Cricetulus griseus: one gene and its partners. The protein of the gene in region 3 interacts with the protein of the main gene of each other region in a pairwise test. Links are inferred from orthologs where the notes say so. Each region holds a gene or a part of one and is shown on either strand. Other genes may lie near its edges.

Region 1 (4,002 bases), on a different chromosome or scaffold from region 3:
AAAGCTGTTGAACTTTGATTTGACCTTTAAAAGCTAAATCGGCCTATAACTCGGTCATCATGCGCCCACGTGCTGGCATTATAGCTGTGGGCCACCACACTGGTTTATATGGAGCTGGGGGCTGGACCCAGGGTTTCATGTTGCTAAACAACTGTATCAACTGAGCAAGAAGAGAACTTTTGAATTAGCTATCATCAAACCTGAGGGAAGGGATAAGAACATAATAAGATCTCACCAAAAGTTAAGTTCTGTTTCATTTAGTAGATTGGCCATACGCAAGCGGAGAGCAGCTTTGGGCAGAGGATAATGATGACTTGTATGAGCGTCTCAACATTTCACCTTTTTCCCGGGCTGGAGAGCCCCACGAGCATAGGACTAGAACCGGACGTTTCTCTTACTTGTCTAATCCTGAAAACGCTGTGGCAAAAAGCAACAGGCAGTCCTAAACAGAAACAACCAGAACCAGGTCTGCAAATTTGTTTCCTTCAGCAGAGAGTCGCTAACTGAGGTCTTCCGAAAACCAGGACACCACGAATCCACACACAGAAACACCTTAGCGCCTTGCCTACTTCCGAGATCAGAGTCCTATTATGAGGGGCCCACCGAGATGCGTGAGAGAAAATGACTCTCACTTCCCATTGGCTGAACTTTCTGGCGTTTAGATCTCCAATACATTTTCGTTGGTTACTATTGCTGTCACCTCCTTTCGCCACACCCACTTCCTGGGCCGCTTCCAGCAAGAGCTGGACTAGAGTGCCTTACAGTAGTCTGGCGGTCTCCCATTTCCCCACATCCTAGGCGGAGGCTCTCGCCACGCTCCCCTCGTCCGAGAGCCCCCAGCCCCGTAGGCTCGAGGACCGGTCCCCAGAACGTCAGTTCCCTCCCCTTATGGTTGGGGCCCCACCCTCAGCCCGAGACAACGCCTCTGCAAGTTAGATCCCCTCCTCCAGCTCTTGAAAACACTTCTACCTGCCGTCCCGCCCTAACTTGTGGCCCCGCCCTTATCCTCAAGCCCCACCCCAGGCAGAACAGGTCCCCGCCCCCTGCCCGCGGTCCCGCCCCTCCCTACCCAGAGGGCGGCGACCAGGCGGCGGCCGCCGCCGCAGGAAGATGCTGGAAGCCAGCGGGCGCGCACCGCGGAGGTGCTGAAGGGACAGTTCCCGTGGCAGAACTTGCCCCTGAACGCGCGGGGCACATAGGCCATGGAGACTATCTGGATCTACCAGTTCCGCCTCATCGTGATCGGGGACTCTACGGTGGGCAAGTCGTGCCTCCTGCACCGCTTCACCCAGGGCCGCTTCCCAGGGCTGCGCTCCCCTGCCTGCGACCCCACGGTTGGAGTCGACTTCTTCTCGCGCCTGCTGGAGATTGAGCCTGGCAAGAGGATCAAGCTGCAGCTCTGGGACACCGCAGGGCAGGAGCGCTTCAGGTAGGGAGGCACCAGCTACGAGCTCTCGAAAGTGCTAGCGCTCAGTGTTCGCTTCCCCTTCGCCCCTCCCCTTCCAGGGGCTACTTCCTCCTCCGCAGTTTCTTCTTTCTTTAGCGCGGATTCCTGCCCCTTTCCCTTTCTGTTTCCTTCCCTGTCCGAACCAGGGTCGCCTAGTCTTCCCCAGCTCTATCTGCTCCTCTAGGCATTTGGGTCCCTTTAGGTCCACCGCTGCCTTCTCCCGAAACTCGACTTCGCACACACGCCCTTATTCAACGACCTTCCTCCTAGCTTCCCCTCTTCAGCCTTGACCAAGCCTCTTTCGGGCCAGGAGAAACGCCTAGTGGGGTTCCCTGGTCTGTGATAAATCTTTAGTTCTCAGCAAGCAGAAGTCCAGCCGGGGTTGTGGCCTGGGCTCCCTCGGTACGGTTCACAGAGAGATGCATGCGGTAATTGGTTTGAACATCTGACAGCACCAAGTGTGGTCATCAGAAAATACTGGGTCATGACCCTTGGGAGTAGGTTCTGGAAAACAACTAAATGCAGATTCGGAGTCACCGACACAACTGTGTGTGTGTGTGTGTGTGTGTGTGTGTGTGTGTGTGTGTGTGTGTTTGTAGGGTGAAGTTGCCTTTAAAAGTTTGTCATCTTTGGTGTTTTGATGTAAAAAAGATAATATTGAGGTTTGTCTGCAACTTTCCCTTTATTTCATTGATCGGTACTTAACGTTCCGGCATGATAACAAGAGAAAATACTTTTCTAAATGGAGAAAGAGGGTCTCAAGTAAATAGTCTCATTCTAAATGTCCACTGAGGAACCTGAAAGATTGTACAAAGAGGACTGACGTTACAGGAACTGAATTCCTTGGATATTTGAGATCATATCGCATTTAAAGGGTATTTACAGTTTCTGGGATGGAAGAGTGCTTTATTTTACAGCGAGGTAAGGAAATTGGTAATGTACTCTTTCGTTTCTTGAAAATCACCCGATCAACTGAACTCCTGTAGGCAAGCATTTTCACATCTCTCAGTAAGTACTCTGCTTGTGAAATAAAGAACTCCATTAAGGAACTTCCCAAACATGGCTTCCCCTACTCCCAACCAGCATCCATTCCGGATGAGTGCAGCCTACATCTGTAGAAAGTCCAACACTGAAAATTTTGGCTTCCATTCCTGGGTCTGACACTAATTCACAGAGATAATAAGGGAACTGCCTTGCTTGCTTGTATATTAGTTTTCTTACTTTTGTGTGGTAAGCCTAGCTTTCACAGGTGTTAAAGGTTTTTTATTTTGTTTAGGATTCCATGAAGACATTTGTGTTCCCTTTTCAATCAGCCTCCTCTGATTGAAACAGTTTGTAAAACTTGCTATGCCTCATCTGTAAAATGAAGATATCCCCATGATTTCTAAGATTCTTTCCGGTTCAACCACTCTTTTGAGGTGGGCTACAGCGTCTTCCATTTGTGATCTTACTCAGGGTTGAAATTTGAGATATTTCAAGGGGGGGGGCATTTACCGGGAGTGCTTGCTCTGCCCTAAAGGTAGTAAAATCTTCCACGACTATTTACTTAAAAGTAATTCCTCAACCTATTGACAGGAAAATAAAGGATCATTAATCTGTTAGAATGCAAAGACCTTTGCTAGTTGACAGTTTTGTAATGCCTTTGAGAAGAATATAAATAGCAATTCATTTTATATATACATTATTAAAACCACCCAGTAACTGCCCCCATAATAATGCAAGGACAGTTGGAGAATGTTTACAATGAGTCATACTTTGTTTTGCTTGGCTCTTTACCAATGATATATTCGTAAATACATATTTCAGTAGCTACCTACAATACTTGCCTTTCTAGCATTTAGCAAAATACTTCACCATAAAACTGCATTCAACAGAATTATGATTAAATCATCTCACATCTTCTAGAAATGCAGATATTTATTTTGAATCATGGATCTCCTGGCATGTTTTCTTACATTCAAGGGTATTTGGACCTATATGCCTGTCATTGCAATCAGCCCCTGAGGAATTTGTGGGAACTATTTTATTAGAAGATTTATTGGTCATTAGTCATAAAGCAAAAGAGGAGCTTACTTTAGAGAGCTCATGATGTAGTTTGAAAGCATAAACAAATATATTACAGAATAATGAAATGTCCAGCTGGTAATTATCATAACTAGTTTTCCTTTCAGTATTTAAGTTAACATTCTAGTGGATTTTAACCACTTGAAAAACAAAATGGGACAAGATCAGCTGAGTATGATGACACTTGCCTATCTCTCCAAGGTTGAAGCAGGAGGATCTTGTGTAGCCAACACAGACTACACAACCAGACTTGTCTCAAAGGGGAACAACACTGGGCATGGTAATACAAGCCTTTAATCCCAGTATTTGGGAAGGAGAGGTAAACAAGTCTCTGAGTTCTAGCCAACCAAGTTGTGGGCCAACCAAGTGCTACACAGTGAGACCCTGTATAAAAAAATAAAATAATAAAATCAGGGGTATTGATTTGGTTTATACATTACTTAGGATTCCTAGTAAAGGCCACTGTGTGTCTAGGAAGTAGGGAAAGGGAG
Region 2 (4,230 bases), on a different chromosome or scaffold from region 3:
CTTCCTGTTTGCAACCATCACCCTTGCTGGCCCTCAATGGCAGCTACAGAGACACTCCCTCTTTCAGGCATCTGGATGGGCAGGCACATCCAGCCTGGAGGTGGAGGCCCAACAACTTCAGTAAAGCCAAAAGAACTAAGGGCAGTGCTTGGTTCCATCAAAAAAAAAAAAAAAAAAAAAAAAAAAAGACCTGGCACTTAACCTCCCAGTATACCTGTGGGTCTGGACACCCAGTATCTCCTGTGAATACACTCTTAGTGCAGTGTGCACAACTCACATAGGATGCCAGCAAGAGACTCAAAAGCGCACACACAGAGTAGGTAGAATAAGTATTCAGACTCCTCAACTTACTCCAGTTCGGCCTTGTCCTCAGCACGAGGCTTCTTCCTGGCAGCAGATGGGGTGGTGCTTGGGCCTTCGCTGTCCACGCGGTGGTGCTATATAGAAGCGCAGCTGTAGGGAGGGACACCCAGGGAGTCCCGCCCCACGTCTCCCCAGACATCCCCAAGCCCAGGATCCTGAGCATTTGGGCCGACAGTTTACCGTGAACACTGACAGCCCAAGCTTGGCAGCCTCTTTGTCTTCCCGGGATAGTGCCACACGGCCTGCGGAACCACTGCAAAAGACAGAACATTGAGGACAGTTCTGGACCACCGCCCAGTCCTGCCCCCTTCTACCCAACCCGCCGCACCTGGCGCTGCCCAGGCCCAGCAGCCGGTCCACGCCTTTGTCCTCAGGATCGCCTCCTTCCCGTTTGCAGATCTCTACGAAGTCCTGAGGAAGCGGGGAGTGGGGGTGGGGAGAGGTTCTAGGCCGGTACAGATAGAGCCCCGCCAGCCCTGAGGACCCTGAACCCGCACCCCAGACTCACCTCTTTGCTCAGGCCGGTGGGCTGTTTTCTCACGTTCTTGTAACCTCTGCGAGGGTCGAGGGTACACGTCAAGGGGCATGAGCCCGTAGCCTTCCTCCCCTGCCCAGCCTACATCTAGCCCCGCCCCGGGGCCACCCAGATCCCATCCCCGGAGCTCGCAGTCGCCCCGCAGCCCAGAAACTCACAGTGCGGCCAGCAGCGCCTCGCGTTCCGCCTCGCGCACAGCCGCCAGCTCTTCCTCACGGCTCGGGCCGGCACACGGCGCGCGGTCCTTCGCGTACCAGGTGAGGTCGCGGCCCTTCTGCCAGCGGCCCACTGGCGCCATCAGCGAGTTGCCTAGGTAGTTCTCCCTCTGCTTGTCGGTCTTCACATCCTCCCAATTGAACTGGTCCTGTCCGCCACGCACGCCGCCGCGACTGGAGCCGAACATGGCGACGGAGCCGCTCGCTGCACAATCTCCAGTACCCGCAGCCCGAGCGTCAGATTCCCGCAGCACTCGGCCGCCGGACGCTCGCCGTGACGTCACTTGTGCGCCTGCGCGTCTCACTAAGGTGTCCGCGCGCCTGCGCTCTGCATGGCTCGGGCAACCTCAGCCTCGAGAGCCCTCTTTCCACCCGGTGTTCAAGTAGTAACTCATTCACAGGCGCATCTTCATCCCATTTCCACGTGCGCCTGCGCACTAGCTCCTCGAAGAAACGGCTGCTGATCTCAGTGTCATGCGGTGGATTGGAATGCCAACAAACCTTGGTGACACCAGGAGGGGCCAGGGCCGGACAAAAGCCAGGCGTGCTAACTCAAAAGGAGTGGGGGTCCCAGGTCAGAGCTGAGATGAAGTAAATCCCTGGGACCATGAGTGGCGATTAAAGCCCCCAAAGAAACGCAGATCAACTCTTCTGTGTACTGGATGACACATTGTGTCACGAAAGTGAGATAAAGGCCACAAAGCACAAGCTTCCCTAAACCAGAGCGATCTGTGTTTTCTGCAGGTGACTTTACTGATGAAGTACGAAGAACAGAGCTAACTGCATTTGTTCTGATGGGGCATGACCAAGAATAACGAGTAACTAAGCTTCTTTGAATACAGGTTTAGTACTGTCATTTGGTTCTGGAAGAATCATTAGTTTTACCTGGCAGCCAATGAACGATCAAGTCGATGTCTGGACTAAAGCTTAAATGAGTGCAATTTTTCTGCATTATAGTCTTAGCCTTAACTGCCTGTAATAGACTGTGTGGCAACCCACACCCCTATTATCATTTTTAAAACATCCACTAGGGTTATATTTGAAGGCTGGGCCTTTGAGGTAATGAAGCAGAGCCTCACAGATTAGTGCCCCTACGAAGGGAACCCTGGAGAACTCACTTACATTCAGTCTCTAATATAAAATGAGATGTTAGCTGTCTAGAACCCAGAACAGATCTGTTGTCCCAACTCTATAGTGCTGGCATCCAGACTGTTTTGGGGAGTGGTGAGGATATAATGAATTTGACATGAACATGGGAACATCCCATGTTAATATTTCTCAAAAAGGGAATTTGGAATGTAAACAAATGTGGGAAGGAACACAAGAACGCCTGGGACCTTCTTCAGCTTCTACAGAATAGGGTGATGTTCCTATACCTCGACTGTTTTTCTGAAGACAGACATTGTTATGATTTACATAACCTTGAGCATGCTGGCCTGTGAAGCAGGCTCCCCTGCAGAACTGTAAATCTGTAGCTCTTGTTTTCAAAGGAGGTGAAAAATAAAAAAAACAAGCCTTGTCATGCAGATTGAACTCAAGTGCTGGGCTGCCTTAAGCCCCCTGGTTTCCAGTTCTCCCAGAATTAATCAGGAGAGGCAACTTGGCCAACCTCTCTCAGTTTGTGTTTGAGATAGAGTTTTACCATGTACCCCTGGCTGGCCTCACAGAAATCCATCTGCCTCTACCTCCCAAGTGCTTCGATTAAAAGTATATGTGAGCTGGGCGTTGGTGGCAGATGCCTTTAATCCCAGCAATCGGGAGGCAGAGGCAGGTGGATCTCTGAGTTCGAGACAAGCCTGGTCTACAAGAGCTAGTTCCAGGACAGCCTTCAAAGCCACAGAGAAACCCTGTCTTGAAAAACCAAAAAAAGAACGTATGTGAACTACTACACCTCACCCTAGTATTTCTTTAGGGACCTATCTTGAGAGCAGCTGGATCACTCCCTTGTGAGAACTCCTCTGCCACTGCTTTTGGGGAAACTTCACATATTCTTTTTTTTTTTTTTTTTTTTTTTTAAGATTTTATTTATTTATTATGTATACAGTCTTCTGCCTGCATGCCAGCAGAGGGCACCAGATCTCATTCAAGGTGGTTGTGAGCCACCATGTGGTTGCTGGGAATTGAAATCAGGACCTCTGGAAGAACAGTCAGTGCTCTTAACAGCTGAGCCATCTCTCCAGCCCCTGAAACTTCACATATTCTATAAGATAAAACATGCATAAAATCTGCAACTGTGAGAACAAATTACTATTTATAAAGTACCCATGACTGGTGAGATGGCTGGGTGGGTATGGGCTCTTGCTGTCATGCCTGCTGAAACAAGTTTAATCCCCAGGACCCACATGGTGGAGAGAACCAACTTACACAATTTATCATTTAATCACCCACATGCCATAGGGTGTATGCCACTCTGCTAATTAAAGTACCCAGTCTGAACTGGGCCTGGTGACAAGAGTCTGTAATCCTAGGTCCCCAAGAGGCTAAAGCAGGAAGGTTGGTTGGAAGTTCAAGAGCTGCCTAGGCTTACAAAGAGATCTGAAAGCTAGTCTGGGCAACTTAGCAAGGCCCTGCCTCAACATAAGAAAGAGAAACAGAGCCACATCTTAATGATAGAGAGGTCTCAAGTTCCATCCCTAGTTTGAAAAATTATCCAACCTGGTGCTCTCTGTCATCCCAAACAGACCAAGACAACCCCATTTTTGTTCATGTCTTCATTCTGAACACATGCTGAGAACCTGCCAACAGCTTGTGAGGCACCTAGTACAAGCCCTGAGTTCATATCCTGGCTTTGGAGGACACAGCTGGAACTAGATCCCTCAGAACAAGATCACACTAGGTGGTGGTAGCACACGCCTTTAATCCCAGCACTCGGAAGGCAGAGGCAGGCGAAGCTCTGTGAGTTCGAGACCAGCCTGGTCTACAAGAGCTAGTTGCAGGACAGCCTCCAAAGCCACAGAGAAACCCTGTCTCAAAATAAAAACAAACAAAAAGAACAAGATCACACTAGGGATGGATGTATTACATGGATGGACCCAAGGGGAGCTGCACAGTTAAGGGAGCAGCAGTCATGTGGGCCACAGTAAAAAAGGAGCAAACCAGCCATCTCCCAGGAAAGAT
Region 3 (3,978 bases):
GGGGAGAGGGGAAGGTGTAAACACTGGGCGCTGAACACAGGGTGAGGAAGAGCCCTTTGCTAGGGTGCTATAAGGTGAATTTATCAGGGCCTCATCTTATGAACTGCTTCCACTCTTAGGGGGCAGGACCATGAACTCAGTCAGGTCCTGTGAGCTGAGGGGGCCTGCAGCCTGAAGGAGAACAAAACAGGCCCAATGTATGGATAGGCTAGGGGAAAGGGGCGACAGAATGGAAAAGGCTTGGCTTGGAAGTCAGCACCCTTAGGTATTCCACCTACATATAGGTCAGGCTTGACTGTGTAGCCCCATGGCACTCCTTCTGGGATCCCTCGGCTTCAGTATGCAGTATACAGATGATGGGTGCCAATCAGCCCTGCTAGGCACTTCAGACCTTGGGCTCCACACAGACCTGCTTTCTGCTGGCAGGACATATTCCCTGCTCAGTGCCAACCTGAGGCTAACCCCAGAATCCAGTGACAGAAACATCCTAGGCCCAGAAGTATGGCTAAATCCATTTATTTCCCAAGTAAAAAGCAAAATAAAGAGGAGCTGCATCAGCAGGATGCTACAACCCCATCTCCGCCTCCTGTCCTCTGTCCTACACTACCAATAAATAAGTTTCCCAGCCCCAAGTGATTATTAGAATCTCCTCCCCACTTGCCAGCTCCAACCTCTACTATAATACAGAGGGTGTCCCTACCCCAGAATATACAAAATGGTACACAGGTACAATATGTACACCAGGAGAGGGGAAACCCCCCCCCCCAAGAGCCTCTATCCTGCTTGGCATACAGTTACCCCAATTGTCATAAGGCCTGAGAGAATAGTACCCAATTTCCCTGTCCCAAAGTGCCTCTAAAAAGATGGAAGCCCTCCTAAGTGGGATGCTTTCCAGAGGCAGTTAGCCCAACTGCCTGGGAACCCATGGAAATGCTGCCCAGTCCCACTCCCTAAAGTGCCTTTAAGAAGATGGGAGTTGGTCTGGGAATGTGCTGGGCCCTGGGTTCCATCCCCAGTGTTCCCACACTTAAGAAAAAAGTAGGTAGTGCTGGGGTGTAAATCAATTGGTAGAGTGCCTGCTCAGCACTGCAAAACACCAGGCACAGTGATGAGCAGGAGAGTCACAAGGTCAGTGTGTAGTGAGCTCAGGGTTAGTCTGGGATATATGAGACACTATCAGAAAATAAAGAAAGGGGTGGGAAGGAGAAGGAGGGAAGGTAATGAAAGATGGTAAGACAAAGGAGCTCTCTTGCTGATTGCTAGGTTGCATCTACCAGCCTGTGCTGCACCTGGCCATGAAAATGCTGCCAAACTGTTCTGCCCCAGTGTCTTGAGTAAGGACTGTGGTCCTCCAACTAAAGAGAGCTTGGTCAGGAAGCCACCAGGCTACCCAGAGAGGCAGTCTGCTCAATCATTGACTTTAGAAAGTAAAATCGCCCTGGCCAAGAGGGCACAGGGCCTGTCCCTGTTTGTATATCACATTAATATAGGGAGTCTGATCTTTTTTTTTTTTTTTTCAGACAGGGGCTCAGTGTAGCCCAGGGTGGCTGATTCTCCTGCCTCCTCTTCCCAAGTGCTCGAATTCTCAGCACCCCCAGTTCAGAGGTACTGGGGTGGGACCCGGCAGACAAGCACTCTACCAACTGAGCTACTTCCTCAGCCCCTTGAGGGGGTGGAGTCTGACCTTATTATTATAAGGATAAGGGTGACTGAAGAGGGAGTGGGTTGGGGCAGAACCTTTGGCTGCCAGTCTTTTAGACAACCATAATTTTCACTTCGTCATTCTCATCAGCACGGTAGAAAAAGGGGATACAAGGATTGCTGCCCAGGCCTGGACGTTCCTGAGGGTTCTGGATCTCACGCAGTAGCTGCATGATCTGCTGTGCAGTGGGGTTCTCAGGGGGAGTGAGTGCCCCCGGCGCTCCTTGTGCAGGCTCTATACTGTCGGCCAGGCTCACCTCCCTAAGGTCTTTAGAGAAAGGGGAGGGGGGTGTCAGGGCTCTACATGCTATGGGAGTACTCCCCTTTGTGCCTGCCCAAGCCAAAGGCGCTACTCACCACCCTGCTGGTCAGCAGCTCCAAATCCCTGGGAGCCTGTGGGCACTGGGGTGGGCACATCAACAGGGTTCTGAGAGACTGCCAGGAATTTGCCCTGCCATTCATTGCGCTCATTCACAAGCCTCAACACCAGCTCCTGCAGCTCTAGCAGCTTTATCTGGAGGGAAAGGCAATCAAATTGAGTAGCCTAGCCTAGCCTAGCTGGGCCTAGACCACAGAAGTGTGGGGCTTACTTTCATTTCCTCCTTGTCCTGGGCTAGCCTGCTGATGTACTCCTCCTTCTCCAAATGCCTAGCCTTTAGCACTGCCCTCTGGTTTTGGTAGAGGGCAATGTACTCTCCTGTGGGTATGGGAGACAGGTAGACAAGGCTCAGACATTGAGGTTCTCCCAATCTGTCCCTGTGTACCTCAACTGCCTTAGGTTGGGTTCCGCCTCACCAATGGTGTCTGTCTCTCCAGAGAGCTGGATACAGCAATGTTCGAGTTCCTCTACCCTCTCCTTGAGCTCCACTTTCTCCTGCATGACCTCCAAGAAGCGGCTCTGGAGCCAAGACAGAGGTCTCAGAGACTTAGGAGCTCTGGCTGGCCCCACCCTCCCAGCTCTCAAAGACATACTGACCTGCAGCTTCTCCATGGCTACATGTAGGGCCTGGTTGCTCTCCTCAGACACAGAATCACTCACATTACTGGGGATCTTGCTTTGGACTGGGGTGGACAAGTGAGCCAAGCTTCGGCAACGTGCCTTCTGCTCTCTCAATTGTACACGTAGCCGGGTCTGCTCTTCCTCAGCACTGGCTATAGCTGTGTTAAAGAAAGCCACCTGCACACAAGGAAGAGGTGTACTTCTTAGGGAGATGTTTAGGATAAAAGGGGCAGGAAGGTAGAGAGGGAGCACTTATTCTCAGATGCAAGAGTGTCTGACCACTGGCTCCCAGGCAAATGTGATAAGAAATGAGAGGGCAAGAACTCAAGGGACCAGAGAGGCAGGGAAGAGAAGGGGCAGGGCAGAACCCAGCTCACCATGGCTTCTTTACTGTCTAGGTCTTCTGGGATGGTCAGACTAGGCCGAGGAGCCTCCTCCTCCTGCTCCTCCTGCTCCTCATCTCCTGGGGGCAGACAGTAGGTTGTCTCCTCTAACAGTCCCAACAGGTAGACAGAGTGGGCTAAGGGAAGACAGTTCAGGACCCCACCTCTGTACCCCAGCCACTGACTAGAGAATGCCAAGCATTCTCAAAGCTTCTCCAAAGACATCAACTCCGTTTTGTTACGAGTCAGTCAGGGTCTCCCCTCTCCTGTGTGGTCTTACCTTCTCCAGGGAGAGCCAAGAGGCTCAGCTGGGCCTGGAGTTGCTGGTTCTCCTGGCTGGTGGCTTCCAGGCGCTCCTAAGGGGCCAGGAAAGAGTGAGAAGGTACAGAGGTGGCAAGGTCCTCCTACTGGGGCCCAGCCTCAGCAACTGCCTCACCTGGGTCTTTTGCAACTCCTGGCGGGCCATTTCAGCTGCCATCTTGCTCTGTACTTCCTCATGCTGCAACTGGTCCATGAGCTGTGTCTGCAGCAGAAGCTGCTTGTGCACTGCCTCCTTCTCAGAGGTCAGCTGCTCATAGGCAGCCAAGTGCTGTTGGTAGGCAGCAGCATACTGCTGCAGGTGGGACAGGCACTGGTCTCGCTGCTCTTGCAGACTCTGTGCTTCTTGGCTCTTCAGCTCCACCTGCAGGAAGGCTAGGCCTGAGTGCAGGCAGTGGCTGGCTTCCACACCCTGGGCCCATGCCTTTATGTGCAGCCTCACACCTTTCTCACCTCTTTAGGCCCTAGGTATGGAAGAGCTGACGGAACCAATCTATATTGTTCTGCACAAACCACTAGTGCCCAATAGTCTATGGACATTTTCTCAGTTAATGTTCAACACTTGTATGAGGAAAC
Region 4 (2,621 bases), on a different chromosome or scaffold from region 3:
ATACATGTTTGGTAGGGTGTGCTAAGTGCCTACACTGAGAACATTCCAGTTCAAATCAGTCCATTCCACAGGGATGCTTCCTGTGCCAGTTGAGTTCATATAAGAGGGCCCTTGACCTTTCTCTGGTCAGGCCTGCTTTGCTCACCTCCTAACTCTCCTGGGCTTTTATGTTGATACAGATCATCACTTTCATACAAAGAATAGATACACAACATCTCAATGGATTTCACAGGTTCAGCACAGCACATCTCTTGTACAAAAAAGCACAGAAGTGAAAGCATCCACTTGCTTACTTGTAAACGCACATGCATAAATCCTTAACACGCTCCAAGCGAACACAAATGAATATATTGCATTGAAAGGTACAAAAGCACTGTAAGGAAAACTTAAAGGTTACACATGAAATACTGCACTGTGAATGTGGAATACTCTAATGACCCAACCCCACCCTTATACAGCCCAAGTATGGGTCAGAAATTATCAACATGCTGGGGACCTTCCTAATCACCAGAGACACTGCTGCGGGGGCAGTGGGCAGCAAGATTAGCCTCCCGCAGAGCTCTGGCCTGCTCCAGAGCCTCTCGGTAGCGGGAGGGCCAAGCCTGGGGATCTTTCTTAAAGACCCTGGCCAGGAACTCCATAATCTGCATCTTGGTGATTTCACGGTTGGCTCTGGACCCCCAGAAGAACTCGTACTCAGGAGGATCGCTGTGGGGAACAAGCTGGTACTTCAGGTAATTCTGCTGGACGAACTCCTCGGTGATAATCTTCCTCACGTCTCCGAAGGTGGAGTGCTTCTTCCAGGGCCTCAGTCCCAGGATGTGCAGCACATTCCAGACGGCTCCCTCTCTGGCCCCGCGGCCCTTCACGTAGATGAGGCTCAGGATCATGAGCAGGAGGCCTGTCATGGGCATACGGTTGTTCAGCGCCACTCTGTCCAGTTCTGCTGGGCTGAGGGCTTTGACCAGGGCGAACTCCATCGTGTGGATATTGGTCAGCCTCAGGTGCAGCCCAAAAACTCTGGCAAGGATGAGGCTGGTGCGCCGGAGGATGCTTCTGCACCATTTCTTGTAGCTGCCCATGACATCTTTCACCATGTCTGGGAACCAGAGGACCATCCTCTTCTGGTCCTTGACCAACACGTACCACATGAGCTCGTGCGCCTTCTGCACCACCTGGGCCGGGGCGGGTGGTGTTGGCAGCTGACGGACCGGGCTATCGGGATTGTGGGCGCGGCCCTCCTCTATGGCCTGCTCCAGAATCTTAGGGTCAATATCTTCTAACCTTTCTGGAGGCGGCGGCGAGGCCTGCCGGGCTGCCATAGGGCCTTCAGGAGCTTCTGGTGCCTCTGCGACGATCGCGGCTGGAGATGTGGGAGGAGGGACCCCCACCGGAATCTCAGAGCTCTCCTGCACCTCGGAGTTGGCGGCATCAGGTGCAAAGTTAGGGTCGCTCAAGTCCTTACTTTGTTCCGACATGTCTGCGCCTTCTGATCAGAGCAGGACCGCTGCGACTTGGAGCTCTTGGAACCAGCACTCCCTCAGTGGACACCAGCAGAGGAAGTGCGCTTTACTGAGAGCTGTGCCTTCCGCAGCAGCGGCCGGGCGGGGCGGACTTGACACTGCGCATGCGTGTTGGCAAGCCAGAAGGGTGGTAGGGCTGGATAGGAGCTGAGATGCAAAGCCCAACCACTGGGGTCTGAGGGAGGGTACCACTAAACTAATGGGAAAGATCTCCAGGTCTCCTGGGTGAGCTAGAAAGAGATGGTGATGGGGAAGGAGCAAGTTTAAGTAGAAAGATGCAGCTGAGATGGTGAAGTCAAGTTAGAGCACCTTTGAGTTTTTGTGTGAAAGGGGGTAGACTGGCTAGAGAGCTTGGACTTTCTACAAAAGAGTGAGACAGTAATGAGTTTTTGATTTTTTTTTTTTTTTTTGGAAGTGCGAGCATTGTGAAGATAATGTGATGTTTAAGATTGGAATGTTGAAAAATTAATAGAGCAAATCTTTACCAAACCTGAGTCCAGATCCAATACGGAAGAATATAAAGTGTCATTACAGACACTGGAAATCAGCCCAAGTGGAATTTGAATGTTTTGGAAGTAATAAAATTATATAGCATAATTGGTGTGTGTTTAAACATTTTTTTATTGGGATGGGAATTGGCTCAGTCCATGGGTAAGAGCATTTGTAGTGCAAGTGTGAGAACCCTAGTTCAAATCCCTAAGACTCACAAAAAATGTAATGGCATAGTCTGTGTTTGTAAACCCTGCTCTGAGAGGTACAATTAGGAGAATTACAGGCATTTGCCAGAAACCAGCCCAAGTTTAGGTTCAGTGAGAGATCCTGTCTCAAAGGAATAGGGTAGAGAACAATAGAGCAGGATACACAACACCCTTCTCATAAATTTGCATACACTTACACAATATACACATATAATTGACACAAATAAGAGTTTGTCTTTATACACAAGCACAATATGCAGTAAGCAAACTTGCATAATTAACACATATATCACTTTAACCTTTAGGGATATTTAAAATTCCTTTTTCTATCTCCTTAAACATGTATAGCTGAGTACACCCACTGCACTTTGTTATAGTACACTACAGAATATTGTTCCTA
Region 5 (4,204 bases), on a different chromosome or scaffold from region 3:
GGCATCCTATATGTTTCTAGAAAAATGAAATGAGGGAAACTTCACAAAAATGATAAAACTTGCCCTGATACCTGAAGGACAGATAGAAATGGAGTAAACAAATCAAAAAGAAAAAGAAGTAAACAAATCAAAAAGAAAGAAGACATAGTAATATACAAGTAAATGAATAAATAGCACAACGTGTTGATTAGACAATTTGGGACTGAAATTCTGGGTTCAATAGCTGTGTCATCTCGTCTTAAAATTTCTGTGCATGTGAGTGTGCCTGAATGTATGAAGACGTACCACACACAGGTGCCAAAAAAGTCAGAAGAAGATGTCTGATCTCCTGGAACTAGAATTACAGACAGTTGCAAGCTGACTAACATGGGTGCTAGGAACTGAACCCAGTATTCTGAACAAGTATTCTTAATCACTGAGCTACTTCTCCAGTCCAGAGCTGCATCATATTAGCAAAGGTTATTTTTTTGTTTGTTTTGCTCTTTGAGTTTCATCTCAAATTCTTAAAAATATGGGTCATATTAATATCTATGTCTGATTTGTAAGGATTGAATGAAATCATATAAAAATACCTTTCCTCATTCAAGAAAAGCCAATAGCGATATAACAATGAACAGGAGTCATTTTGTGGAAAAATGTGGCTTACTAGTCTTTTTTAAATTTGAGAGAATACTCTAGGAAAAATAAAATCACATCAAAGTAGGCTTTAAATATTAGGGTAATTGTGGGGGTGAGGATACACTGACTAACCTTAGAAGAGGTAAAAGTGAGGGGAAGAGAAAGGAGGAGAGAAGGAAAAAGGCAGAGGGGTTAGAAAGGCAGAGACACAGAAAGATAAGGTAGAAAATGTTTTAGAGATTGGCCGAAACTAGCTACTCAGAATTCATTACTTGGAATTCCTTTAAAATGTATCAGTAGTTACTTGTTTGCCGCTCTTGACACTGCTTGGTAGCAAGAGCTTTGCACAATGCCTGGAGCACAGTAAATGATGATAAATATTTGTTGAAGGAATGAACAATAAGAAGAGAACCAAAACTCAATCAATAAATAATGCAGATTCATGCATCACTAAGAAAATATAGATTAGAAATAAACTGAAAAAAAAATCAGTTTAAATTTTGGACTTGAGAGTCTGAGAAACATGGCAGAACATTCCCATTTTCACTATTAGAAAGATTCCACATGTACAATTTGAGCTCCATAGAGGTAGAACCAAAGTTACAAAACTGTAGTTCATTACCATATAAAGAGCCATAGAGAGTCACGTGGTAGTAGCTGCCCCGGAAGTAATGAGTCAAGGCAGTCAGCATCATAGTGGGCAAACCGGAAGGAACTGAAGCTGAGTGGCGCGCAGTTGGAGAAGAAAGCGGTTCCTGTGGGTACCTTTGTGAACGCTCGCTGAGAATGAAAAAATATAGTGACTGGTCCCGTGGGGACAAACACTATGGAAGGTCTGGCTATTCCTCTCGCGAGCCACACACAAGCTACAGATAGTAAGTTCAAAGAAATATTTGATTCAAATTTTAGATGTCTGACGTGGCCACTTTGGGATTAACTGTTTTAAGAAAGGGCGCCGGGCTACTGAAACCAGTTTGCCATGGCATTTATCATTACTTGAGCTTAAATCTTATCTAGACACGGTTTAATCACTGATTGTTTTAATAATGTGATGATAAAATAGTATTTAACTCATAGTTGCCATAAATAATTGAAAATGGATAAAATTACTTAGAAAAGTGCTTATGGTCACTACTAACGGTCCCTGGTCAGGTTGTTCTGAATAAGCTGTAGAAACCATACACCACAGAATATTGGGTTTTGGTTTGGGTGGGGTTTGTTTTTTGGGGGGCGGGGTGGTGCTTGACATTTAATCCCTTCGGTGTGAAGGGAATTAGTAAAATGATTGTTAAGCACAGGAAAATTTTTAGTTATCCAAACAAGGCGTTAGTAGCAGAGGGTCAAAATGGAGAATATTCCCGAACTTTACATTTTAAATTCTTTTAAACCCCTCGTGCAGCAAGCGGTTTTTCTGAGCGGGTTCTCAAGTCCTGCCCCCTTTTCCTATTGGCTACTGACCTAGGTTTTTCCGTTTCTCATTGGCCCTCAAGCTTTGGGCCCGCCTCATGGGATAAAGCTGTCCTGTAATTGCAACTTTTGATTTTAACTTGTACCAGGGCGGGGAGCTGGGCTGGGGTTGTTTTATTTGTGTTGTGCTGTTTTGTTAGTTTATTTTTGGTTGGTTTTTTGTTTGTTTCTCTCTTTTATGCAAAGTAAACAGTTTGGAAGTAATTTAAACAGATGGATGGAACCAGTTGCAACTGAAAGGATTGGCCACTTAAAATTGGAACTTTGAGGGGGTTTTAACACTAGGATATAATGGGCGGGTTTAAAAATCTGTGTCTTTGGCGGGTCTCGTTTTCTTTGTAAACATTTCCTCCTTCTGCAGCCAAAAGAGCCAGACACGTGAGGAGGTACTGACACCTGCCCTGAAGGAGCATGCCATTTCAAGTTCTCCAATGGCCATGGCTGTGGTGAGTGTGTGACACCATTGAGTGTTGAGGAACTAGGACATGTGCAGCAAAAGGGATGGGAGGCAGGAGCTTGGACATGTGAGCAACTGGCGAATCAGCATCTGGCCCGCCAGCCCCTGGGGCGGGACTTGCTCCCCTCCTCTTCCTAGAAAAGATGCAGGAAGGAGGATGGAGGCTAAGTCATCTTTGGCTTACAGTATCAACCTTTCTGTTGGCGCTTTAAAAATCAGAATCTCCTGATCACTCACAAATGGCAATTATTTTTAATTCAAGGAATAGGACTTTCTCAGTAAAAGTGAAGGGCAAACAAAGTTATTTAATTGGGGATCTTGTGAGAACTCTGAGGCCTTTCATTTCTTGGTTTTTGCAATTCATTTACAAATGCCCATGAATGTTTATATAATGTAAGAAAAATTTCTAAGTGGGACTGCTTAGACTTTCAAGTCATACTTAAAAAAAAGAAAATAACTTCCAAGCTTGGTCATAAGTTGAAACTTAGCACTTACTCAGTGACTGTCCACCAACACCTTGTCTCCACCCACACCCATCACCCACTCTCGAGTTACTATTCCTGTGGTAGGTGAATGTTTTGTAAAATACTGAATTTTTTTTTACTTAATTGCCAAGCAAAGATTCCAGAGTTATATGTGAAGAGTGAAAAAAGGGGAGATAAATATGTTCTAAAGACGTGGATCTAAAAACTAGCTACAGTTTGCTTTTAAAGCTGAAAACATTTATGCCTTGATCTTTAAAATACTCAAATTTATATGATAGCTGATTTTGCATATAGCTTTATAGTGCCTATTTTGAGCTTGCAGGATTATGATTTACCATTGTGAAAATTTGCTCATAGGATTTTAAAACTCATGTGGATCAGGCATGTAGAGCTGCTGAGGAATTTGTCAATATTTACTATGAGACAATGGACAAAAGAAGACATGTAAGTTTTATAGTCTCCCTTGTTCTTTGTTTAATACCATTCATTTGTTTAAATACCATTTATCTGACCTACATAAGTAATTGCTGTATACACATTCTTTAAGACCTGTTTATACTGGTTTACAGTTTGTTTATACTTGTTTATAGTTTGGTATTTTGTTTTCATTTTTCTTTTGGGGTATTTTGGTTTTTTGGTATTGGGGTTTTTTGTTGTATTATTTTTTTTGCTTGGTTGATTTTTTTTGAGAAAACTGCTACTTGAGAAGCTAGGGAAAGAATCTGGGAGAAAGGAAGAATATGATCAAAAATATATTTAAATTTAAAAATTATTTTAAATAATAAAAATATAACATAGGATATCTGATCACATTGTGAACCCCAAGATTGCATTATTTATTGGAAAAACCTGTTTCTAGCTGTGGTGTGGCTCAGGCTTAGCATATACCTTTAACCCAATTGTTTTCTGCTTGCATATTGTAAACAGGATTAAATAAGGTCAACCATAGGTCAAGAGGCAGAGCAACCAACCAGTTGACAGGAAGTAAACATAGGATTATCAAGAAAAAAACATGTAGAGTAAGAGGGAGTCAGGAAGATGGATAGAGAGACACACAGGAAATAGAAGGGAGGGACATTCCTTTTGAGGCATGTTGTTTGAGAAGGCATAGGAGTTAGGGGAGGCTTCTGGGGTATTGGCTGAGGAGGAAGGTCAGCTGGGTGTATTCTCTGCCTCT
Region 6 (4,277 bases), on a different chromosome or scaffold from region 3:
ATTTCTGATTAAAAGCACACTCTATGGAACATGAACCATGGAGAGCATAAAGAGTATATTAATCATAGAGTTTATTACGACGGGAGACCGAGAAATGGAAGAACAGAGTAGGACAGAGAGAGAGAACCATTTCTTTTTGTTTTTTTTTTAAGATTTTATTTATTTATTATGTATACAACATTCTGCTTCCATGTGTATCTGCACACCAGAAGAGGGCACCAGATCACCAGATGGTTGTGAGCCAGCAACCATGTTGCTGGGAATTGAACTCGGGACCTCTGGAAGAGCAGTAAGTGCTCTTAACCTCGGAGCCATCTCTCCAGCCCCAAGAACCATTTCTTTAAAGTCATGTTCTTAGATATGGGAATGGATCTCACAGCTAGTTTTGAGCCAGGGTGGCCTCCTTTTATTATGGGAATGGCACCTAATTGGAGGTCAACCTTGTTGACTAAACATTATCAGAAACTTTCTTGGCCACCTGAAACTTCAATGAAGGTACAGAATTTTCTTCACCACAGTTTCTTTCTCTTTGTTTTAAGTTTATTCATTTTTATTTTGTACACATTGATGATTTGCCCTGGGTGTCGGGTCCCCTGGAACTAGGATTACAGACAAGTTGTGAGCTGCCATGTGGGTTCTGGGAATTGAACCCGGCTTCTATGGAAGAGCAGCCATCTCTCCAACCCCTTCCCCACAGTTTCTAATAAGCCTGGTTAGTACACTGTCTTCCAGTTATACCGGAGGCAGCGCTCCTTTAGCTAAATTCTACTTTGTTTTGGTTTTGGTTTGGTTTGGTTTTTCGAGACAGGGTTTCTCTGTAGGTTTGGAGACTGTCCTGGAAACTCGCTCTGGAGACCATGCTGGTCTCGAACTCATAGAGATCCGCCAACGCCGGGCTAAATTCTACTTTGTTTAACTTAATATTTCTAAGCAAGTTTATTAGTAAATCCTTTACAACATCAATTTTAGTATGAGTTTCTCCTGCAGCGCCAGCACTAGGAAACTGAGTCGTGAGAACAGCGAGTTCGGGCCAACACCCGTTATGTGAAACCTTGTCGCAAAACAAAACAATCTGAGAAGGGTTAAAAAAACAGCCCAAGGCCCTCTGGTAGACAAGGCAGAGATGACTCAGTCAAGGTTGCATTTAACCTTGTTAACTCAGTAATCATGGCGGCATATGCCTGTAATCCCCCAATCCAGTTTACTTGAGAGGCGGAGGCAGGTGGATCTTAAAATCAAGCATGAGTTGTTGGGGAAGCAGGTCGTCCCTTGGAAGCAAAAACCTAGCAATGAAGCACAGAATCGGGGGACAAGATTTGAGAGCGCAACCCCATGAACTTCCGGCTAGCTACGGGGCCTGGTCGCCAAGCTCTAGACTTCCCGGCGTAGGGCGCGGCACCAGGGCGTTCGCCGTTACGGATGTCTTCATCTCCCAATGACCTTCAGCGCTCGTGCTCTCTTGAGCGCTGATTGGCTGCCCTTTGAGAACCCGCCTCCCGCCTTCCGTTCTCCTTGGTAGAAGTTGCTGGACGCTCGTGGGTGTTTCGCAGTTTCTCGTCTTTGGACTCTGCTTGTCTGATCACCCAGGATGCCGCGTGGAAGCCGAAGCCGCTCTTCCCGGGTGGCCCCTCCGGCCAGGTGAGACCCTCCTCGGGGTTGGGGACTGAGAGCGGGCGGCCAGGGTGACGTTGCGTAGCCAGAGAGCTGCGAAGGCGGCGGGTGGTGAGACAGGGCGAGCAATGAGGAAGGGACCCGCTCCTGGGGAAGAGGGCTCCCCGGGAACAGGGACACCCTCGGTGCGCTACGGCAGAGGACGCTAAAGCGTGAACTTTCTCCTCCACTGCTTGGGGGGAAGGGCCTTAGAGGACATAGTCTACGAAGAGGCGGAGGAAGAATGATTTATGTGGAGGTCTAGAGGTGGTTTTCTTATTAATTTTGTTTCTCCTCTCTCTCTCTCTCTCCTCTCTCCTCTCTCTCTCTCTCTCTCTCTCTCTCTCTCTCTCTCTCTCTCTCTCGTCTCTCTCTCTCTCTCTCTCTCTCTCTCTCTCTTTTTTCGAGACAGTGTTTCTCTGTGTAGGCAGGCCTGGCTGTCCTGGAACTCGCTCTGTAGACCAGGCTGGCCTCAAACTCAGAGATCCAGCCGCCTCTGGCTTCCGAATGCTGGAACTAAAGGCGTACGCCACCACTGCCTGCCTGGGGTGGTTTTCTTTTACTGTGTGTGTGAGGTCCTCCGGCTAACCTTGAACTTGATAGGCCTTGCTAGTCTGCCTTGATTTTCCTGACTCCGCTTCCCTACGGCTGGGATTACAGGCTTTAAAGGTGTCTACAAGAAAATTAAATACCTGTGTATAGGCCCTTTCCTTCCACCACTTTGGTCCAGAATATCTTAACACTTAGTTGCAAACATTATTGAGAGATCTCCTCGGCCCACAGGAAGTGGGTAGATAAGTAGAAATTGTTGACAGCGCCTGGAATACAGATGTTTCTTTTTGGTCAAGTATTGGTGTGCACGCCTTTAATCCCAGCACTCGGGAGGCAGACGCAGGCAGGTCTCTGAGTTCGAGGCCAGCCTGATCTACAGATCAAGTGCCAGGATAGTCTCCAAAGCTACACAGAGAAACCCTGTCTCGGAAAACAAAACTAGACAAAAAAACCCCAGATGTTTCGTTTTGGGGAATATAATTGTAGAAAGTTAAAGATTGTTTCTGTAATGGGAGGGAGGCTGAGGACTGTATATGGTAAGAGATGCCCCATCTATCCCCAAGATAGCTCTCCATGCTCCTGTCTCCCTAAAGGCAAGGGTAGGCACCAGTTCAAGATAGCAGTGGTGCTATCTATAGAGAGACCCAGGCTCGGAAAAACTAAACGAGAAATAAGATTAGTAAAAGTTGCAGTTCAGAGCCGAGCGTTGGTGGTGCATGCCTTTAATCCCAGCACTCGGGAGGTAGAGGCAGGTGGATTTCTGAGTTCGAGACCAGTCTACAAGAGCTAAAAAAGTTGCAGTTCAGACAGGTCATTGTCCCTAAGTTTTTCTTTTTGGTTTGGATTGGTGCTTTGTTTTGTTTCTTTAATACAGGGCTTCACTGTGACCCTGGCTGTCCTGGAACTCAGATCCATTCACCTGCTCCTGCCCCCTGAATGTTGGGATTAAAGGGAGTGGGCCACCACACCATACCCAGCTGCCTTAACCTTTTGTGATTGGTAAAGTGAAGGTCTTGGTGTACATTCTGAGCATTACCTCATGACTGTTTTTTGGATTTTGTTGACTTTTTTATCGTTACATTGTGCAAGCTGGTCCCAAAGCCATGTGCTAAATGATCTTGCCCCCCCACACACACACACACTGAATAGCTGGGACTACAGGTATATTTTGCCAAGCCAATGCCTTCTGTATATTTTCTTTCTAGTTTAGTCAACCCAGAGTCCCATGCCTGCCCAGAAAATGCTCTGCTAATCCAAGCTCTAAATTGTTTTATGTCTGTATACCTGTGTGAAGGTCAGAGGGCAGTTTGTGGGAAGTAAACATCCTTGTGGATTCCAGGATTCTAACTCAGGTTTTCAGGCTTGGCAGCAAACACCTTTCACCAGTGAGCTCCCCAAGCATGAACTCCCCAAGCTCTAATCATATCCCCTCACCCGCAATAGAGTTTCTCTATGTAGCCCTTGCTGTCCTGGAACTCACTTTGTAGACCAAGATGGCCTAAAACTCAGAAATCTGCCAGCCTCTGCCTCTGGAGTGTTGGAATTAAAGGCGTGTGCCACCATACCTGGTTGAGTTCCCAATCTTTTTGTTTGTTTTTGTTGTTGTTACCATTTTTTGAGAGGTGGGTTTGTGAGCCTTGGGAGGCCAGAGGTGTCAGGTGGCCTGGAGCTGAGATTCACCATGGGCTAAGAGCAGTATGCAGTCTTTACTGTTGAGCATTTCTCTACCTTTTCAACTTAATAGCTGATTTTATTTACTTAGTATACAGTGATCTGCCTGCATGTATGCCTGCACGGCAGAAGAGTACGATAAGATTTTTTTTTTTAATTATTTACTTATGTATACAGTGTTCTGCCTGCATGTCTGCTTACAGGCCAGAAGAGGGCACCAGATCTCATTATAGATGGTTGCAAGCCACCATGTGGTTGTTGGGAATTGAACTCAGGACCCCTGGAAGAGCAACCAGTGCTCTTAGCCTCTGAGCCATCTCTCCAGCTCAATAGCTGATGATTTTATGGAGTATTGGAATAACTGTTCTTTAAAGATACTGTGGGCCATGTGGATACATGAAAAC
Region 7 (3,500 bases), on a different chromosome or scaffold from region 3:
CTCCCTGCATTCCAGTCATATCCACTCTGCACTGTGCATGCTTTCAACTGGGAAAGGTATGGTATCTAGCCTGACTCTCCTGTGCACCACAGGGGAAAGGTATGGTATCTACCCCGACTCTCCTGTGCACTGCGCCTCAAGGTAACTAAGTACCATAAACTGGTAAAGGTTTTCTTTACATTTGAAAAAAAATCCTAACAAAGGAATTACTATTTAGAAAGACAACCAATTTGCAATTAACGGCAGATTTAACCCACAATAATCAATAAACAAAAACTATCATTAAAAACCAAACAGGTAAACATTTTCAACAGCCGAGTTGCAATACCCAAATACCCTCAATCTTAACACTGTTAAATATGTATGAAAATACCAAGGGTAAACAAACCCTAATACAAAGTATGCATACGAATAATAATGAACATATAAATTCATCTTCTCTAAGTCTCATTCTTGGGGAATGATGATAAGACAAGTTGTGCAGACGTGGGGACAGGGCACACAAGTAATTTCTATACTTCCTGCTGCGTGCCACAATTCTCAGACTGCCATGAAAACTAATGTCTGTTTTGTTCATAATATGAACTAAAAGACACTAGTATGACATAATCGTTTTGCTTGCATTCCTATGAGAAAAAGGTGATTCAGAATCTAAGCAAATCTTTGGTGCTAACTTCCACCTTACAGGGATCTTGTACCCAGAGGAGTGACTTGGTAGTCATCAAGACTATGAAGCGGAAAGGAGAACTGGGCAGCATGGCTCTAGATGAGACATTTACAATAAAACAACAAAACAACACAGCAATGATGGGAATCTTGACCAAAGGAAGTAGATTATGGAAATACATTTTGGGACAACGGAGGAAAAACAAATAACTTCTGAGATACTATTAATTTTCAGAATTCTCTACCATGCATTTGTTGGAAAACTAACATTTTACAGGAATGAGCACAAACACACTAAGTCTCTCTCAAGGATAAAACAGACTTTATATCAGTAACTCACATGTTGGTACTACTGGTGGAATTGCAGGGGGAGGTACCACAGGTGGGGGAACCGGAGGTGGCATAAAACCTACATGGGAGGAAAAAAGACCAAAATAAAACAGCATATGTTTAAATCAAAGGGCTCAAGATTTGTGAATGAACTTCCACATTTTCTTATTGTTTTACCATGGGGTCCTTACTCTGCTACTCAGCTGGTGTGGAGCCTGTGAGCTAAGTCATTCTATTTTAACCTCCTGAGGAATGGGGATGTTTTGGAATGTTATTTTAACTATGTAAAGATGTGTTACATTTGTTTATAATGAGAAATATTACTTTAACTATATAAAGGTGTGTTACATTTGTTTATTCTGTATTTGCTTAACAATGTAGAGATGTGTTGATCTGCCTGCCTAAGGTACCTGATTGGTCTAACAAAAAGCTGAACAGCCAATAACTAGGCAGTAGAGGGCAGAGCTGGTGCCCAGAGAGAATAAGTAGGAGGAAGAATCAATGCACAGGAGAGAACTAGAAGAGAGGAGGAAGAGAAGGAGATACCCTGGGCCAGCCAGCCAGGCACCCACGAGCCAGTCAGATATGGAATAGGACATACAGAATCAGAGGAAGGTAAGAAGCCCTAAGGCAAAATATAGATGAAGAGAAGCAGGTTAAGTTATAAGAGCTAGAGGGACAAGCATAAGCTAAGGCCAAGCATTCATAACTTCTGTAATACGTGATTCCTATAAGCCAGATAAATCAGTGATCCTGATCATAGCATTCCATTTACTCACACTCACTCACTCACTCACTCACTCACTCAAAGTCTTGTAAAATGCTCTGCATCGCAGATCAGTGTAATAAGCTAGAATCAACCTATTGTTGGAATGCTGACCACAGGGAGAGTGCTAAATCTATCTCAAGCTACCTACCGGTCACAGTAGATAAAATAATGCTATCCACCTGTCAACCATTTCATTTATTTGACACAGTACACTCTTTACTGCTAGGTTAAAACATTTTGGTAACTTTAGATGATATGATGTGTTCTTGAATAAATCTTAAACTATAATGGCATGTTTATGATTCTACAGACCACATGACCAAATTATATAAATCTGCTTCTTTGCAATTTTTACAGGTAGAGTCACTATTAAATTAGAAAACAGTGAGTCAAAAGAAAAGCAGATGAAAGCTGTGACTCAATGGATCAAAAGTCTGGAGAATGTACCCTGCTCTATGGCACTGAGACCGAGAACACCAACCATATTCTAAGCAGTTAAAACAGGAAGACATAAACTCCTTACCAGGAGGTGGTTGTGAAGGGTTAAAACTTGCTCGTAGAAAAGGAGGTGGAGGGATTGGGCTGAATCCAGGAGGGGGAACCGGCATTGACACAGGAAACGCTGGTGGAACTAAACTAACTGCAGGAACTGCTGGCGCTACTGGAATCTTTTGTAGGTAGAAAAACATCCATTAGCCAATTTATCCACCTGAAGTGCTTACTACATTTTGGCATAATAACACAAAATTACAGCTTTTAAAATGGAAAGAAATAAATGTCATTACATTTTAAGTTTTTCTCTTTTCGTATACTTTTAAGTGAATCTACCCAGGGTTAAAGCAGCCAGTATGAGTCAATAGTTAATTCACCTGGAGATTGTAAGGTATCTCTTACATTCAAATGAACTAGTAAAACCTAAGATAAGCACTAAAACTCAGGCTAGTACTCATGAGTACCTGCCCACCAGGCTGCCTCTGCGAAGCTCAAATAGCAGCTTTCAAAGAGCACCAAATTCTCCAAACTTTCTTTTCAAATTTTAACACAAATATCTTTGATTCATCATAGTTACAAAAAGCCCCAAACTTCCCTCTGGCATGGCTTTATCTCTTTCCTGAACCTCAACCAAGTCTGCTCAGCATTTCAACGTCATTGCCTAAAGAGTACTGTAAAGGTCACATGCAGAGAAAATGAATTCCCAATTTTTATTCCCAAGAGACCGCTCCTCGCATTATTTTCTAGTCTTAGAAAATGGTAGCTCCTATATGACTAATTTCTTGGACCAAATATCTTCCTCCCCTTTTTTCACAACTCCAAATCCAATAGTCTAGTAAGCCCCACCAGTTGTACCTTCCAAGTCATCTACCATCTGCTACTTCTCTTTACTTTTGTTAGTCTTCTTAATCACAATCACTTCTCACCTATATTGACTGTTGAGTTTTCACTCCATGTCTTCTTTTATAAATGTTCAATGTGGCCTACTCACTATAAACATTATCCACTGCAATCCTTTACAAGTCATTTCCCTGAACATCTCCTCCAGTGGTTGCCTTCATTCAGAATGAAGACGAATTTCTTTGAGAGCTGAGCTTACAGGCATGACTTGCAGAGGCAAGGAGCACCATGAAATATCCTGGCAAATGACCTTCAGTGTAGACTTCTGCTTGTAATGCTCTTGCTCAGATTCTGGAACAGCTCATGTCTTCACCACCTAGTTGTTCAACTAGGTGCACCCCCT

Evidence for each region.
Region 1: the proteins of Golga2 (region 3) and Rab39a interact in binary tests that used the Homo sapiens proteins (3 or more experiments, as listed by UniProt). The two-hybrid records come from large-scale screens. The link is inferred for Cricetulus griseus from reciprocal best matches to the Homo sapiens genes GOLGA2 and RAB39A.
Region 2: the proteins of Golga2 (region 3) and CUNH1orf35 interact in binary tests that used the Homo sapiens proteins (3 or more experiments, as listed by UniProt). The two-hybrid records come from large-scale screens. The link is inferred for Cricetulus griseus from reciprocal best matches to the Homo sapiens genes GOLGA2 and C1orf35.
Region 4: the proteins of Golga2 (region 3) and Ndn interact in a two-hybrid assay, tested with the Homo sapiens proteins (2 studies listed by BioGRID and IntAct). The link is inferred for Cricetulus griseus from reciprocal best matches to the Homo sapiens genes GOLGA2 and NDN.
Region 5: the proteins of Golga2 (region 3) and NTF2-related export protein 2 interact in binary tests that used the Homo sapiens proteins (3 or more experiments, as listed by UniProt). The two-hybrid records come from large-scale screens. The link is inferred for Cricetulus griseus from reciprocal best matches to the Homo sapiens genes GOLGA2 and NXT2.
Region 6: the proteins of Golga2 (region 3) and coiled-coil-helix-coiled-coil-helix domain-containing protein 2 interact in binary tests that used the Homo sapiens proteins (3 or more experiments, as listed by UniProt). The two-hybrid records come from large-scale screens. The link is inferred for Cricetulus griseus from reciprocal best matches to the Homo sapiens genes GOLGA2 and CHCHD2.
Region 7: the proteins of Golga2 (region 3) and Scaf8 interact in binary tests that used the Homo sapiens proteins (3 or more experiments, as listed by UniProt). The two-hybrid records come from large-scale screens. The link is inferred for Cricetulus griseus from reciprocal best matches to the Homo sapiens genes GOLGA2 and SCAF8.

What each region holds. Positions count from the first base shown.
Region 1 is NC_048597.1:165,444,173-165,448,174, reverse strand, and holds the start of Rab39a (ras-related protein Rab-39A), read left to right. Parts: upstream 1-1,202; coding exon 1,203-1,429; intron 1,430-4,002. UniProt on the Homo sapiens protein: The small GTPases Rab are key regulators of intracellular membrane trafficking, from the formation of transport vesicles to their fusion with membranes.
Region 2 is NC_048600.1:73,266,675-73,270,904, reverse strand, and holds the start of CUNH1orf35 (multiple myeloma tumor-associated protein 2), read right to left. Parts: upstream 2,801-4,230; 5' UTR 1,302-2,800; coding exon 1,057-1,301; intron 918-1,056; coding exon 872-917; intron 775-871; coding exon 692-774; intron 617-691; coding exon 544-616; intron 438-543; coding exon 352-437; intron 1-351.
Region 3 is NC_048599.1:144,039,367-144,043,344, reverse strand, and holds the end of Golga2 (golgin subfamily A member 2), read right to left. Parts: intron 3,767-3,978; coding exon 3,521-3,766; intron 3,441-3,520; coding exon 3,365-3,440; intron 3,222-3,364; coding exon 3,079-3,221; intron 2,879-3,078; coding exon 2,678-2,878; intron 2,600-2,677; coding exon 2,497-2,599; intron 2,399-2,496; coding exon 2,292-2,398; intron 2,216-2,291; coding exon 2,059-2,215; intron 1,970-2,058; coding exon 1,755-1,969; 3' UTR 501-1,754; downstream 1-500. UniProt on the Homo sapiens protein: Peripheral membrane component of the cis-Golgi stack that acts as a membrane skeleton that maintains the structure of the Golgi apparatus, and as a vesicle thether that facilitates vesicle fusion to the Golgi membrane.
Region 4 is NC_048596.1:135,134,389-135,137,009, forward strand, and holds Ndn (necdin), read right to left. Parts: upstream 1,479-2,621; coding exon 501-1,478; downstream 1-500. UniProt on the Homo sapiens protein: Growth suppressor that facilitates the entry of the cell into cell cycle arrest.
Region 5 is NC_048604.1:38,305,658-38,309,861, reverse strand, and holds the start of NTF2-related export protein 2, read left to right. Parts: upstream 1-1,404; coding exon 1,405-1,493; intron 1,494-2,446; coding exon 2,447-2,531; intron 2,532-3,384; coding exon 3,385-3,471; intron 3,472-4,204. UniProt on the Homo sapiens protein: Regulator of protein export for NES-containing proteins. Also plays a role in mRNA nuclear export.
Region 6 is NC_048597.1:109,162,794-109,167,070, reverse strand, and holds the start of coiled-coil-helix-coiled-coil-helix domain-containing protein 2, read left to right. Parts: upstream 1-1,477; 5' UTR 1,478-1,588; coding exon 1,589-1,638; intron 1,639-4,277. UniProt on the Homo sapiens protein: Transcription factor. Binds to the oxygen responsive element of COX4I2 and activates its transcription under hypoxia conditions (4% oxygen), as well as normoxia conditions (20% oxygen).
Region 7 is NC_048595.1:284,508,845-284,512,344, reverse strand, and holds part of Scaf8 (SR-related and CTD-associated factor 8), read right to left. Parts: intron 2,434-3,500; coding exon 2,289-2,433; intron 1,076-2,288; coding exon 1,007-1,075; intron 1-1,006. UniProt on the Homo sapiens protein: Anti-terminator protein required to prevent early mRNA termination during transcription. Together with SCAF4, acts by suppressing the use of early, alternative poly(A) sites, thereby preventing the accumulation of non-functional truncated proteins.